Linked DNA regions of Caenorhabditis elegans. The protein of the gene in region 1 purifies or fractionates together with the protein of each later gene. This does not show direct contact. Each region holds a gene or a part of one and is shown on either strand. Other genes may lie near its edges. The genes, in order: fld-1 and vdac-1.

Region 1 (6,886 bases):
TTTTCTTCGATTTTCAAGCTGAAAAATGTCGAAAATAGGGGTTTCTCAGTAAAAAATCGCCGAAATTCCAATTTCCAGCACCTTTGACATATCTCTCCAGGCCTTTTTGATGGCCTTCTCGTCGGCGCCCTGATCCAGACCCAAAATCTGATACGGGTCATAGTCCTTGTGAGTTTGCTCGATTTCAGTCGTTTTTTTCACAATTATCGCGAAAATTGCCCACGCTACAACGAGAACCTGCAATTTTTTGGGATTTTTAGTGGATTTTTTCCGGATTTTTCAGTTTTAAAGCCTTACAACGATGGTAATAATCTTTTTAGTCCGTCGCCACGGCTTATTCGCCGCTTTTTGTCGTCTTTTCTTGTCACAACCGTCGCATTGGCACTCGTGTTCGTTGATCACGTGTTCTGGTTCTAAAAATACGAAAAAATACGAAAAAATTATGAATTTTAAGCCAAAAAATCGATTTTTACCTGGTTTCGAGGCTCCTGGAAGGCATAGGTAGGTCGCCGGGAACAGAATAATCGCGTAGAATGCCACGAGCACATAGTAAAATGTGTTGCCGACTTCGTCGTACTCAAACGACGCGCGGCCCATTTTTTAGCGATTAATTACTGTAAAAATAGTGATTTTTTGAGTTTATCAAGTGGTTTTTCGTTTGAAAATATCGAAAATAACGTTGAAAAACTGAAAAAATGTGCGATGACGTGACACTTCGATTTGCAGTGTCTTCCGCAAAACTGTGCGGCGGTGTTGCAAAATTGCGTGCGCCACTTGCAAAAAGGGGCGGAGTCATTGGTTTTTGATGATTTTAATGGGTTTTTCGTGATTTTTAACTCAAAAAATTGAGAAAAAACTTGTTTTAGCACTAAAATTTGATAGATTTAGCAAAATTTAGGCAAATTTCCTAAAATATCAGCAATTTTCAAAGACTTTGCTCAAAAAACATGAAAACAGCAAAACTGTGCGTAGGAGTTGCAAAATACCGCGCGCCGCGCTTGCCAAAGTGGGCGGGATCACGGGTTATTTATTTTTATAATAAATTTCGAAAAAAATAATCGGTTTTTGTTGGTTTTATTGGATTTTTCTGCATTTTTTAAAGTTTTTTTTTGATTTTAAAGCTTAAAATATCGATTTTCAGATGTCTGTCCGTCTTGCCGGCACCGCTCTTCGCGAGATTCGCATCCACGTCTGCCAGAAAAGTCCAGCATCGGCGGGAGTCCGCGCGTTCATCGAAAACGACTATGTTGGAATCAAAAAAGCCAATCCACAGTTCCCAATTCTGATTCGTGAGGCGTCTGGCATCGTGCCAAGGTGGGAAATTATCGATTTTTGGGTGAAATTGCGGTTTTTTGCAGAGTTTTCGCCAGATACGAGCACGGAGTTGAGCGAGTCGCCACTTTGGAGGATTTGTCGAGAGAAAATGTAGGATTTTTGGTGGAATTTAATGCCGAAAATCGATATTTTCAGGTCAAATCTACTATTACTCAATTGGCGTCCCAGAAATAACCTGGCGAAGAGTTTAGAGTCGAAAAAAAATTCTAATTTTTTAATTTTTCCTGTAGAAATTCATTGAATAAATCGTTTTTATAGCTTTTTTAAGCGAATTTTTTTGAATTTTCCGGGTATTTTCACCCAAAAACCTACTGTTTTACCTATTTTTCCGTAATATTTCCAATTTTTATCAGTTTTTTTTCAGACAGTTCTGGAAAATGCGGCAGCTGGCGGAGCTGTTGACGGATCTTCTTGGCCCAGTGCCAACAATGTTTTTATGGGTAAGAAATTCGAAATTTCAAATAATTTCAAATAAAACTCAAAAAAAAATTAATTTTTTAAATAATTTTTCGTGAAAAATTAATTATTATTTATTTCTAATTTTCCAATGAAATCAACAACGATTTCTTCGATTATTTTTGTGAGTTTTCACTCAAAAAATGCCAAAAACCCCCGATTTTCTGCGAATTTAGGCCCAAAAATCCATTTTCTCCAGGTAATCGTCTCATTTGCCTTCTTCCGAGCCCTGCAATTCATCGTTCGTTGGTACTTATTTGGCAAATGGACGTGGCCGAACTTTAACTTTTTCGACATCCGAAACCGCATTCGGAGGAGACGGAGAGGCGGTCAAGAAGCTGAAAATACTGAAAATCCGCCTGAAAATGAGGCAGAAGCCGGCGAGCAGGTCGAACAGGAGCCCGAGCCCGACAGCAGAGATCTGTCGGTGAGAATTCAGAAATTTACTGCAAAAAAAATCCAAAAACTAGGAAGTTTGAGCTAAAAAAGCAGTTTTTTTTTTCGAAATTTGAGCATTTTTTGTTGAAAAATATCGATTTTACAGCATTTTAAGCAGTTTTTCATCAAAAAAAAAGTTGGTTGAGGCTACACAAATTTGTAGTTTTTAGTCTTAGCCTCAACCAATCAGCTTTTGCTTCAAAACGCCGAAAATTGTTGAAATTTCTATCAAAATCGCTTATTTCTAGAGTTTCTACTACAAGTTTCAATAAAAACTTTACAAAAACGTTGAAATTCTTTCCCAAAACTCCTGAAAAGTGCTCAAAACTTGGTTGAGGCTACACAAACTTGTAGTTTGTAGTCTGAGCCTCAACCAAATCAGCAAATCAGCCAGAAAATATAAATTTTTCCGAATTTTTACCTAAAAACTCCACATTTTCCAGGCTATCCCACCGAATAAGAAATGGCGAATCTCCAACGAATGTGTCTCACTATTCCACTCGGTTATATCAGGATTATGGGCCGCCTACGCACTTTTATACTATAAACAGCTCGTTCAGGACCTCGTTAATTATCGATGTGACGTTGCAATCAATTTGGTTAGATTTTAGCGAGAAAATTCGGAAAAAATGACTAAAAAACTCGAATTTCGAATAAAAAAAACCAAAAAAATTGGTTGAGGCTACACAAACTTGTAGTTTGTAGTCTATAGCCTCACTCAATGAAATCAATCAATTTTCCCCACAAATAATGCAATTTAGTGCTAAAAATTGGCAATTTTTCAACTTTTCTCAACCAATTTGTGAGTTCTGTCCATATTTTGAGGAAAAAAAATCAAAAAATGTCGATTTTGTAACAAAAAAGCACGGAAAACGTTGGTTGAGGCTGAACCGAATTTGTAGTTTGTAGTCCCATCGCTTCAACCATCATTGAGTCACGAAGAGACTACAAAATACAAAAGTTGAACGTTTTTGCTCAAAATGTTGCGATTTTCATCGAATTTTGTTCGTTTTTCTGCAATTTTCGCCGATTTTTTTGTGAGAAATTGCCAAAAATTTCGAATTTTCAAGAAAGTTCCGAGTGAATTAGTGAAAAAAAATTTGTTGAGGCTCTCAAGTTTTTATAGTTTGTAGTCTATAGCCTCACTCGACGAAAAAATCAAATTTTCTTCACAAATAATGCAGTTTTGTGCTGAAAATAGTGTATTTTTCACATTTCCTGCCTATTTTTTAAGAAAAAATGATTTAAAAATTCAAAAAATCTCGATTTTCTACCAAAAAAGCATTGAAAACGTTGGTTGAGGCTCTCAATTTTTTGTAGTTTGTAGTCTTAGCCTCACTCAACGAAAAAATACAATTTTCCCCACAAATGATGCAATTTAATGCCAAAAAGTGTCCCTTTTTCAACTTTTCTCAACCAATTTGTGAGTTCTGTCCATTTTTTGTGAAAAAAATAACGATTTTTTGATAAAAAGGCATTAAAAACGTTGGTTGAGGCTGAGATACTTGTAGTTTGTAGTCTATAGCCTCACTCAACCAAAAAATCCAATTTTCCCCACAAATAATGCAGTTTTGTGCTGAAAATAGTGTATTTTTCACATTTCCTGCCTATTTTTACAAGAAAAAATTGTTAAAAAATTCAAAAAATCTCGATTCTCTACCAAAAAAGCATTAAAAACGTTGGTTGAGGCTGAGATACTTGTAGTTTGTAGTCTATAGCCTCACTCAACCAAAAAATCCAATTTTCCCCACAAATAATGCAGTTTTGTGCTGAAAATAGTGTATTTTTCACATTTCCTGCCTATTTTTACAAGAAAAAATTGTTAAAAAATTCAAAAAATCTCGATTCTCTACCAAAAAAGCATTAAAAACGTTGGTTGAGGCTCTCAATTTTTTGTAGTTTGTAGTCTATAGCCTCACTCAACCAAAAAATTTTCACGTTTTTTTTTCGATTTTTTCTACAAATTTCGAAATTTTTCCATTTTTTCAAGCTTCTCGCTTGTAGTTTGTAGTCCAAGCCCAACTGAATTCAAAATTTTCAGGTTCTAATGTCTGCGGGATACCTTTTCCACGATCTCGTCGATCTTCTGGTCAATGAGCAATCCGCCAGAATTATCGAGCTTCTTTTCCATCATGTTGTCGTTCTTTCCGCGTTCGCCGTCACAATGGTGAGGGTTTTCTGCTGAAATCCCCCAAAAAACCCAATTTTTTTGCAGTTTTTCAACCGATTCCTCGGCGTCGTTGTGTTCGGATTGCTCATGGAGCTCAACTCGATTTTCCTGCACTCGAGGAGCTTGTTGAACTTGTAATTTCAGCGATTTTTCCGTGATTTTCAGCCAAATCACCTATTTTTCCAGGTACGGAGTCGACAAGAAGAGCCCATCGTTCCGTATAATCGCTCTGCTCAATATGGTGACACTTTTCGCGTTCCGTCTCTGCGTTTCTGCGTATTTAGTCTATTTTGTGGTGAGATTTTGTGCATTTTTCAGTGGAAAAATCGAGTTTTCGATGATTTTTTCACTAAAAACACGGCAAAATTTGCACAATTTCCATGTTCCAGGTGGTCTCAATTCCGGATCTCGAGTGGTATGTATCAATTATTAACGGTCTAGTCATCGCCTCGCTCGCCTCCACAAATACAGTGCTCACTTACCGGCTTTTGGCAGCTGATGGGCTTTTGGGTGAGATTTTTAAGTTTTTAACTGAAAAATTCGGAATTTTCAGCCGAATTTTAGTCGAAACGCCGAACTTTTGAAGAAAAAACGATTTTTTCGAAGGAAAAAGCGAGAAAAAAGTTGGTTGAGGCTGTAGACTACAAACTACAGAACCAGTATAGCCTCAACCACGATGGTTGAGGCTCAGAGGACTTTGTGTAGTTTGTAGTCTTCGAGCCTCAACCATTGTTTTGGAGAAAAAATGCTTTAGAAAACTCCAATTTTCCTTTTTTTTTTCCTTTTTTTTTAAACAATTTTCGATATTTTCAGGCTCCCGACGTACACGAAGAACCCCCGCAGCTACCGCAGAAACACAAGTTGGTGACGTGGAAAGTGGTCCGCTTAGGACACAAGTTGAGGATGAGGTTCGAAATTTTGGATTTTCTCACCCCAAAATTCATCAGTTTTGCGAAATTTTAGTGAAAATTCGAGAAAAATTCGATGAAAATCGCGAAAATTTCAAGCGAAAACCAATTGGTTGAGGCTGAGCTGAATTTGTAGTTTGTAGTCTCTTAGCCTCACTCAAAGATGGTTGAGGCTCAAAGACTACAAACTACAAAAACATCGATTTCTAGGTCATTTTCACGTGATTTTCTCGAATTTTTCACTCATTTCCCGTTTAGATTTCTCGCAAATCGAGCATAATGACTACAAACTACAATTTAAGTCAATTTATTTGTTTTGTTGCAGGACCATCACACAATCGGAGTGCAAACGATTCATGGAACAACAGAAGACGCGACACAAACTGTTTGAACTCACCCCGCCGCTCCCCCAATTGTACCTATTTATCTGTTAAAAATTGAAATTCTTCGGTTTTTTGGTGATTTTTAAGCGAAAAATCGCGAAAATTTGATAAAAATTGGGTGAGGCTCGCCAAATTTTGTAGTTTGTAGTCTATAGCCTCACCCAACAGATTTTCCACCAAAAATCGACGTTTTCAGTACTTTTTCCTGCTTTTTTTGCCATTTTTTTTTCTGTATCTACCGTAATACTTGTTATTTATTGATTTTTCCCCCCATTTTTTAGCCCCAAATTTTTACCAAATCACTCATTCCATGTCTATCTTGGCCGCGCACCAAAGATGCAAACTGTCATTTTGATGATATCACGAAGTTCCACGACGCTTTTCTCTGCTTACAGTATTTATTTTTTTAAATTTTTTTTTTCACACGAAATTGACTCTAATTTATATTAAAAATACTCGATTTTTGATTTTTGAAAATTTAAATTTTTAAATTTTTAACTGTAATTTACGGTGTTTTATATCGAATTTTTCGACCCGATTTTCAGCCGATTTCAGCAAAAATTTCCAGACAAAATGAGCAAACGAGAGCCGAGGAAACGAGCACACGACTCAACAAATGAGGCAGCTGCTCCCGGCGGAAATGACAGTGAACCCCCGCAACAACAAATAATGCCAATAATTAACAAACGATATATGGTCGAGAAATTCATTATTAATACTGTGAAAAAGGTTCGGAAATCGCTTTTTTTTTTTTTGTGAAAAAATCGATTAAAAACCAGAAATTATTGTTGATTTTTCCTGAAAATTTTCGAGAAAAATCTCTTTTTTTTCCATTAAAAATCAAATTTCCAGGTGGTCGCCGTAATTATACACATTGATTTTCGAAAACCGCCGCAAGAAGTCCGCACGAATAACTATAAATCCATTGAGAATCACGAGCAAGGAGCGAAAGAGCTCATGTATTATGTGCATTATGAGGAGTTGGATCGGAGGAATGATGAATGGATTACGCTGGACAAGTTCGTGTGGAGAAAATTGCAGAAAAATGGGCAAAAATCTATGAAAATCGCGAAATTTCGAGCAAAAACGTATTTTGGTTGAGGCTGAGAAATGTTGTAGTTTGTAGTTTGTGAGCCTCACTCAATGATGGTTGAGGCTCGAAGACTACAAACTACAAAAATAGATAGCCTCAACCA
Region 2 (3,860 bases), on another chromosome or scaffold:
CTAGGGGATGCGTTTGCTGCTTCAATGGTTCAGCATTTATTGCAGGTTTGATAGAAAACTCGAACTTGGAGACAATTGTATATTTTAAGAAAAAGCTGGATCAAGCAGACGCTCGTCACGATTATAAGACTGAACTGAAAGGAGAAATTGAACTATTGAAGTCAGCTGCCACCAGTAGAAGACCATCATTCACAATGTCAGAAGCTTCTAAGGAGCTCTTCTTGACACACGCGAACACAGCTGGAAACTCAAGAATTGGATCACGAATTGGCTCTCGTCGTCCTTCATCCACCAACTTGCATCTTTCCTGGCGTAATAATAACATTGAACCACCATACACACCTCTGCCCAACGATGAAAACGTGTAGTTCCATGATCAATATTTACATTTTTTGTCCATGTCACTTTTCCATTCCAAAACAGAAAACGGTTATTCTCTCCTCTTTCCGCGAGAACCCATGGATTGTTTTGTACATATCATTTTTACTATTTTAAGCCACTGATGAAACTCAATAATTTATGTTTGTAAAATTTAGCAGAAAAGTAAATAGCGCATGACATTTCTTTTTTTTCGAAGTTTAGAGAACATAAATCGACATTGAAAAATCAACGGTTGAGGACTAAAAGAATTTTAAGAACGCTATTGATGGGAGAATGGAAGTGATCGGAAGATCTAGTTGGATGGATCGAATTCGAGTCCAAGTCCGAACTTGTGAGCATCATTGGCAGCAAGGTTGAATTGAGTGGAAAGTGTCAGCTTAAGAGCTGGAGACAAGGAGTGTGTGGCAGCAACGGCAACTTGGGAAGAGCTGTTGACCTTGGCGCGGACAGTAAGGTCACGGCTTGGAGCATACTTGGTGGCGAGAGCGTAGTCAGCTCCGTTTCCACCAACCTGAAAATTCACTTTAGTTTTGGTTCTAGGATTTTAAAAAGTTTACCTTCCATCCGAGTTGAGTTCCAACCTCGACGTTGGAGGCAACCTTGTGGTAAAGGGAAGCTCCGAAGTCGGTTGAGTTAATAACGAAAGAGTGGAGGGTGTATTGTGGAGTGGAGTGTCCGAAAGCCAAAGAAGTGGCTGCCAACTTATTCGATGAAGAATCGAAGGTGGCGGCAGCTCCGATGAGCCATCCGTCACGGGAGAAGACTCCGGCAGCGTTGATAACTGGAGCAGAGGTGACTCCAACATCAGCGGTAACCTGTAAATGGCTAATTTGTTTCATTTCACAAAGATGGATTTTTGAAATCTCTATTTCTACATTCAGAAAATCGAACCCTGAAACAATCATGCTTCCAGTCAAGCTTGAGACGAGCTTCGCCAATCTTATCACCCAAAATATGTACAAGACTACTCACTCTAGCAGTTGGGAGAGCCCAGTCGAGCTTCACTTTTCCGCTTCTCTTTCCGGCGTGTGGGGCATAAAGAGAATCGAGAGTGACCTTGAGTCCACGTCCGAATTGCTCATTAACTTCGATAACAGTTCCGAGCTGGTTCTCGGTGTTCCATTTCTCGGTCAAAGTGATTCCTGAAAACGAAACAACATGATTGATATCTCTCACACAATATGTTGTATTTTTGTTGAGCGGTCGCTAGACGTCACGTGGTGTTTTAGAGTACATACAATTGCATCACCTGCGTCACGAGGTTGTCCCCATCTAGCGGGTAGACAATAAGATGTTCAGACGAGCTTACCGTATTGTGGGATCTTGTACTTGACATCGAGATTTCCTCCAAGCTTTCCGGATCCGATATTGTGAGAAGCGGCTGATTTGAACTCAACCTCCTTGTTGTCTCCAGCTCTAGTGGTGGAGTCGATCTTGAGGAATCCAAAGTCTGGAAAAAAATTAATCAGGCGAATAAATGACCTAACACTATTCCTCTCTACAAAGATAAAATTGAAACTTACTGTATCCTTTGTTGAAGAGGTCCTTGGCGGACTTTCCAAGATCAGCGAAGGTTGGTGGGGCCATTTTCTAAACACAAAATATTTTTTGAAACATGCATTCTAGAGTTACACGAGAGAAGGAAAATAGGAAATTTTCGAAAAATGAAGGCTTTGAAAATGTTTGCATTGAGCAGTGCATACGAGAAAAACGGAAAGAAAGAGATAAACCAACTCAATGGCAGCAGTAGGAAGTCGATAAACAATGCGCCAGAAAACACAACATCGCCAAAAAATATATTCAGGGTTTCAGTTAAATGATTTACAATTATCTTATCGGGAAATTCAGAAGCAAACATTTGTAACATAAAACTCCGACGGTATCGAAAACATTGAATGCGATAGAGAAAGGACAGATCACGCCACAACAGCAAATTGAGAGTTCAAAGGCAAGCACATTGGCGCGGCGACCGCCCGTCTCGAGACATAGGACGAAAATGAGAGGCACAGAGACTGGTTACTGCAGCGCGACCGCTCCGCTTCCAAAAGTACTGGATTATTTTGGCAGTTTTTCAAAATTGAATGATGCACTGAGAAGAAAAGATTTGATGCAATGAAAGAAATATTGACTAACGAAACAAAATGAAATTAGCAAGAAATCTCAAATTTAGCGTTAAACCAGGAAATGGTACCGGAAATTGAGCACAAATCCAAATAGTTTCCGCATCACCTGGTTCAGCGAATTCAGTTCACTTCTGTCACTTGCATCTAACCTATTCGAAATGTACCGCTCGGAAGTCTCTAAGCCACAACTGGAAAATCCAAACCTAGTCGATAGAATAATTGTAATTATTCTGCCGAACTATTTCTATGAATATGAATCCGTACTGAAGCACATAACAAAAGAAAACTTCGGGATTATAGAGGTAAGTTGTATATATGAAAATTAAAGAAGAAGAAACTGATTATTTAGAAAACTGTGAAGCATTTTAAAACTGAAGAAGTCATGGAGTGGAAAAGTGCTGATCTTGAATCCCAAGATATCTGGAACTTATCAGACAGGCTAATAGACGGACCATGCATGTTACTATTGTGTCAACGAGCGAATGCTTTTATTGAGATGAAAGAAGTGGCCAAATATCACAATGTGATCGCTAAGAGGTGAGCAAAGACCAACAAACATCCGAAAATACTGAAAAACAATGGAAGAAAAACATTGCGCACAGTTGAAAATAACCGTTACCGTAGTCTCGTTTCGGTACGAAACCTTCACACTTTTGGAGGTTTTTCAAAAAATCTATCCGAAGAGTTTTAAAACTTCACAAGCGTTTAATTCAGAATGAGTTCAAGTGATGGAATATATTATTCAAAAACGACAATTGCCGCCTATCACGATATAATTTTCTTTTTCCCCAAGTGTAAGATTCCATAAAGTTAGAATTTTGACTCTCCCATAAAAATATATTCAGACATTGACGAAAGAGCAATGCTGAAACATGCCAAGGATTATCTCTCAGTAGAAGTATGGCCGAAACTGAGCCAGGGACTGGCTCGCGTAGCAGTTGAGAGACCGGATAATCCAATTGTTTGTTTTCGAATACACCATTTAGTAACATGATTTTTTTGACTCTTTCAGAAATGGCTCGCAGATTATCTACACCAACTACGCCAATAAGTTTATGTTTCTAAAAAATAATATAGTGTAAATACCCATAAACCAATAAAACAATAAATTTTTTAAAAATATGCATTAAAAATTAACTACAAAACTATGCGAAAGAAAGGGCAGTAGAACATATATTACATGTAATCAGATAACACACAGGTAGTGATAAAAACGGCTTTGGTCTCAAAAATATGTTTAAAAAGCAGGAGAATTAGTACTCTTCCTCCATTGCAATTCGTACAAAAAGAGATGCAGATGGGTCCAGAGTATGTTGATATCCGGTATTTAGTTGAATTTGCGAGAAACCTGTACGA

What was found.
Region 2: the proteins of fld-1 (region 1) and vdac-1 fractionate together in Caenorhabditis elegans (co-fractionation; one large-scale study listed by BioGRID). This does not show direct contact.

What each region holds. Positions count from the first base shown.
Region 1 is NC_003279.8:14,112,495-14,119,380, forward strand, and holds fld-1 (TLC domain-containing protein fld-1), read left to right. Parts: upstream 1-1,699; 5' UTR 1,700-1,712; coding exon 1,713-1,775; intron 1,776-1,990; coding exon 1,991-2,218; intron 2,219-2,672; coding exon 2,673-2,828; intron 2,829-4,270; coding exon 4,271-4,396; intron 4,397-4,444; coding exon 4,445-4,533; intron 4,534-4,585; coding exon 4,586-4,694; intron 4,695-4,788; coding exon 4,789-4,909; intron 4,910-5,212; coding exon 5,213-5,307; intron 5,308-5,632; coding exon 5,633-5,698; 3' UTR 5,699-6,156; downstream 6,157-6,886. Other genes in the region: dnj-29 (J domain-containing protein), read right to left, coding at 82-237, 298-413, 474-597; ndua-2 (NADH dehydrogenase [ubiquinone] 1 alpha subcomplex subunit 2), read left to right, coding at 1,142-1,314, 1,359-1,425, 1,471-1,509; mys-2 (Histone acetyltransferase), read left to right, coding at 6,264-6,419, 6,543-6,709. UniProt on the Caenorhabditis elegans protein: Regulates the composition and fluidity of the plasma membrane. Inhibits the incorporation of membrane-fluidizing phospholipids containing omega-3 long-chain polyunsaturated fatty acids (LCPUFA) and thereby promotes membrane rigidity.
Region 2 is NC_003282.8:7,505,921-7,509,780, forward strand, and holds vdac-1 (putative voltage-dependent anion-selective channel), read right to left. Parts: upstream 1,972-3,860; 5' UTR 1,969-1,971; coding exon 1,905-1,968; intron 1,832-1,904; coding exon 1,691-1,831; intron 1,524-1,690; coding exon 1,354-1,523; intron 1,197-1,353; coding exon 939-1,196; intron 893-938; coding exon 674-892; 3' UTR 501-673; downstream 1-500. Other genes in the region: Putative sodium-dependent excitatory amino acid transporter glt-6, read left to right, coding at 1-45, 90-368; R05G6.5 (Uroporphyrinogen-III synthase), read left to right, coding at 2,663-2,806, 2,854-3,041, 3,219-3,298, 3,350-3,465, 3,517-3,555; plc-4 (Phosphoinositide phospholipase C), read right to left, coding at 3,758-3,860. UniProt on the Caenorhabditis elegans protein: Forms a channel through the cell membrane that allows diffusion of small hydrophilic molecules. Plays a role in maintaining mitochondrial morphology.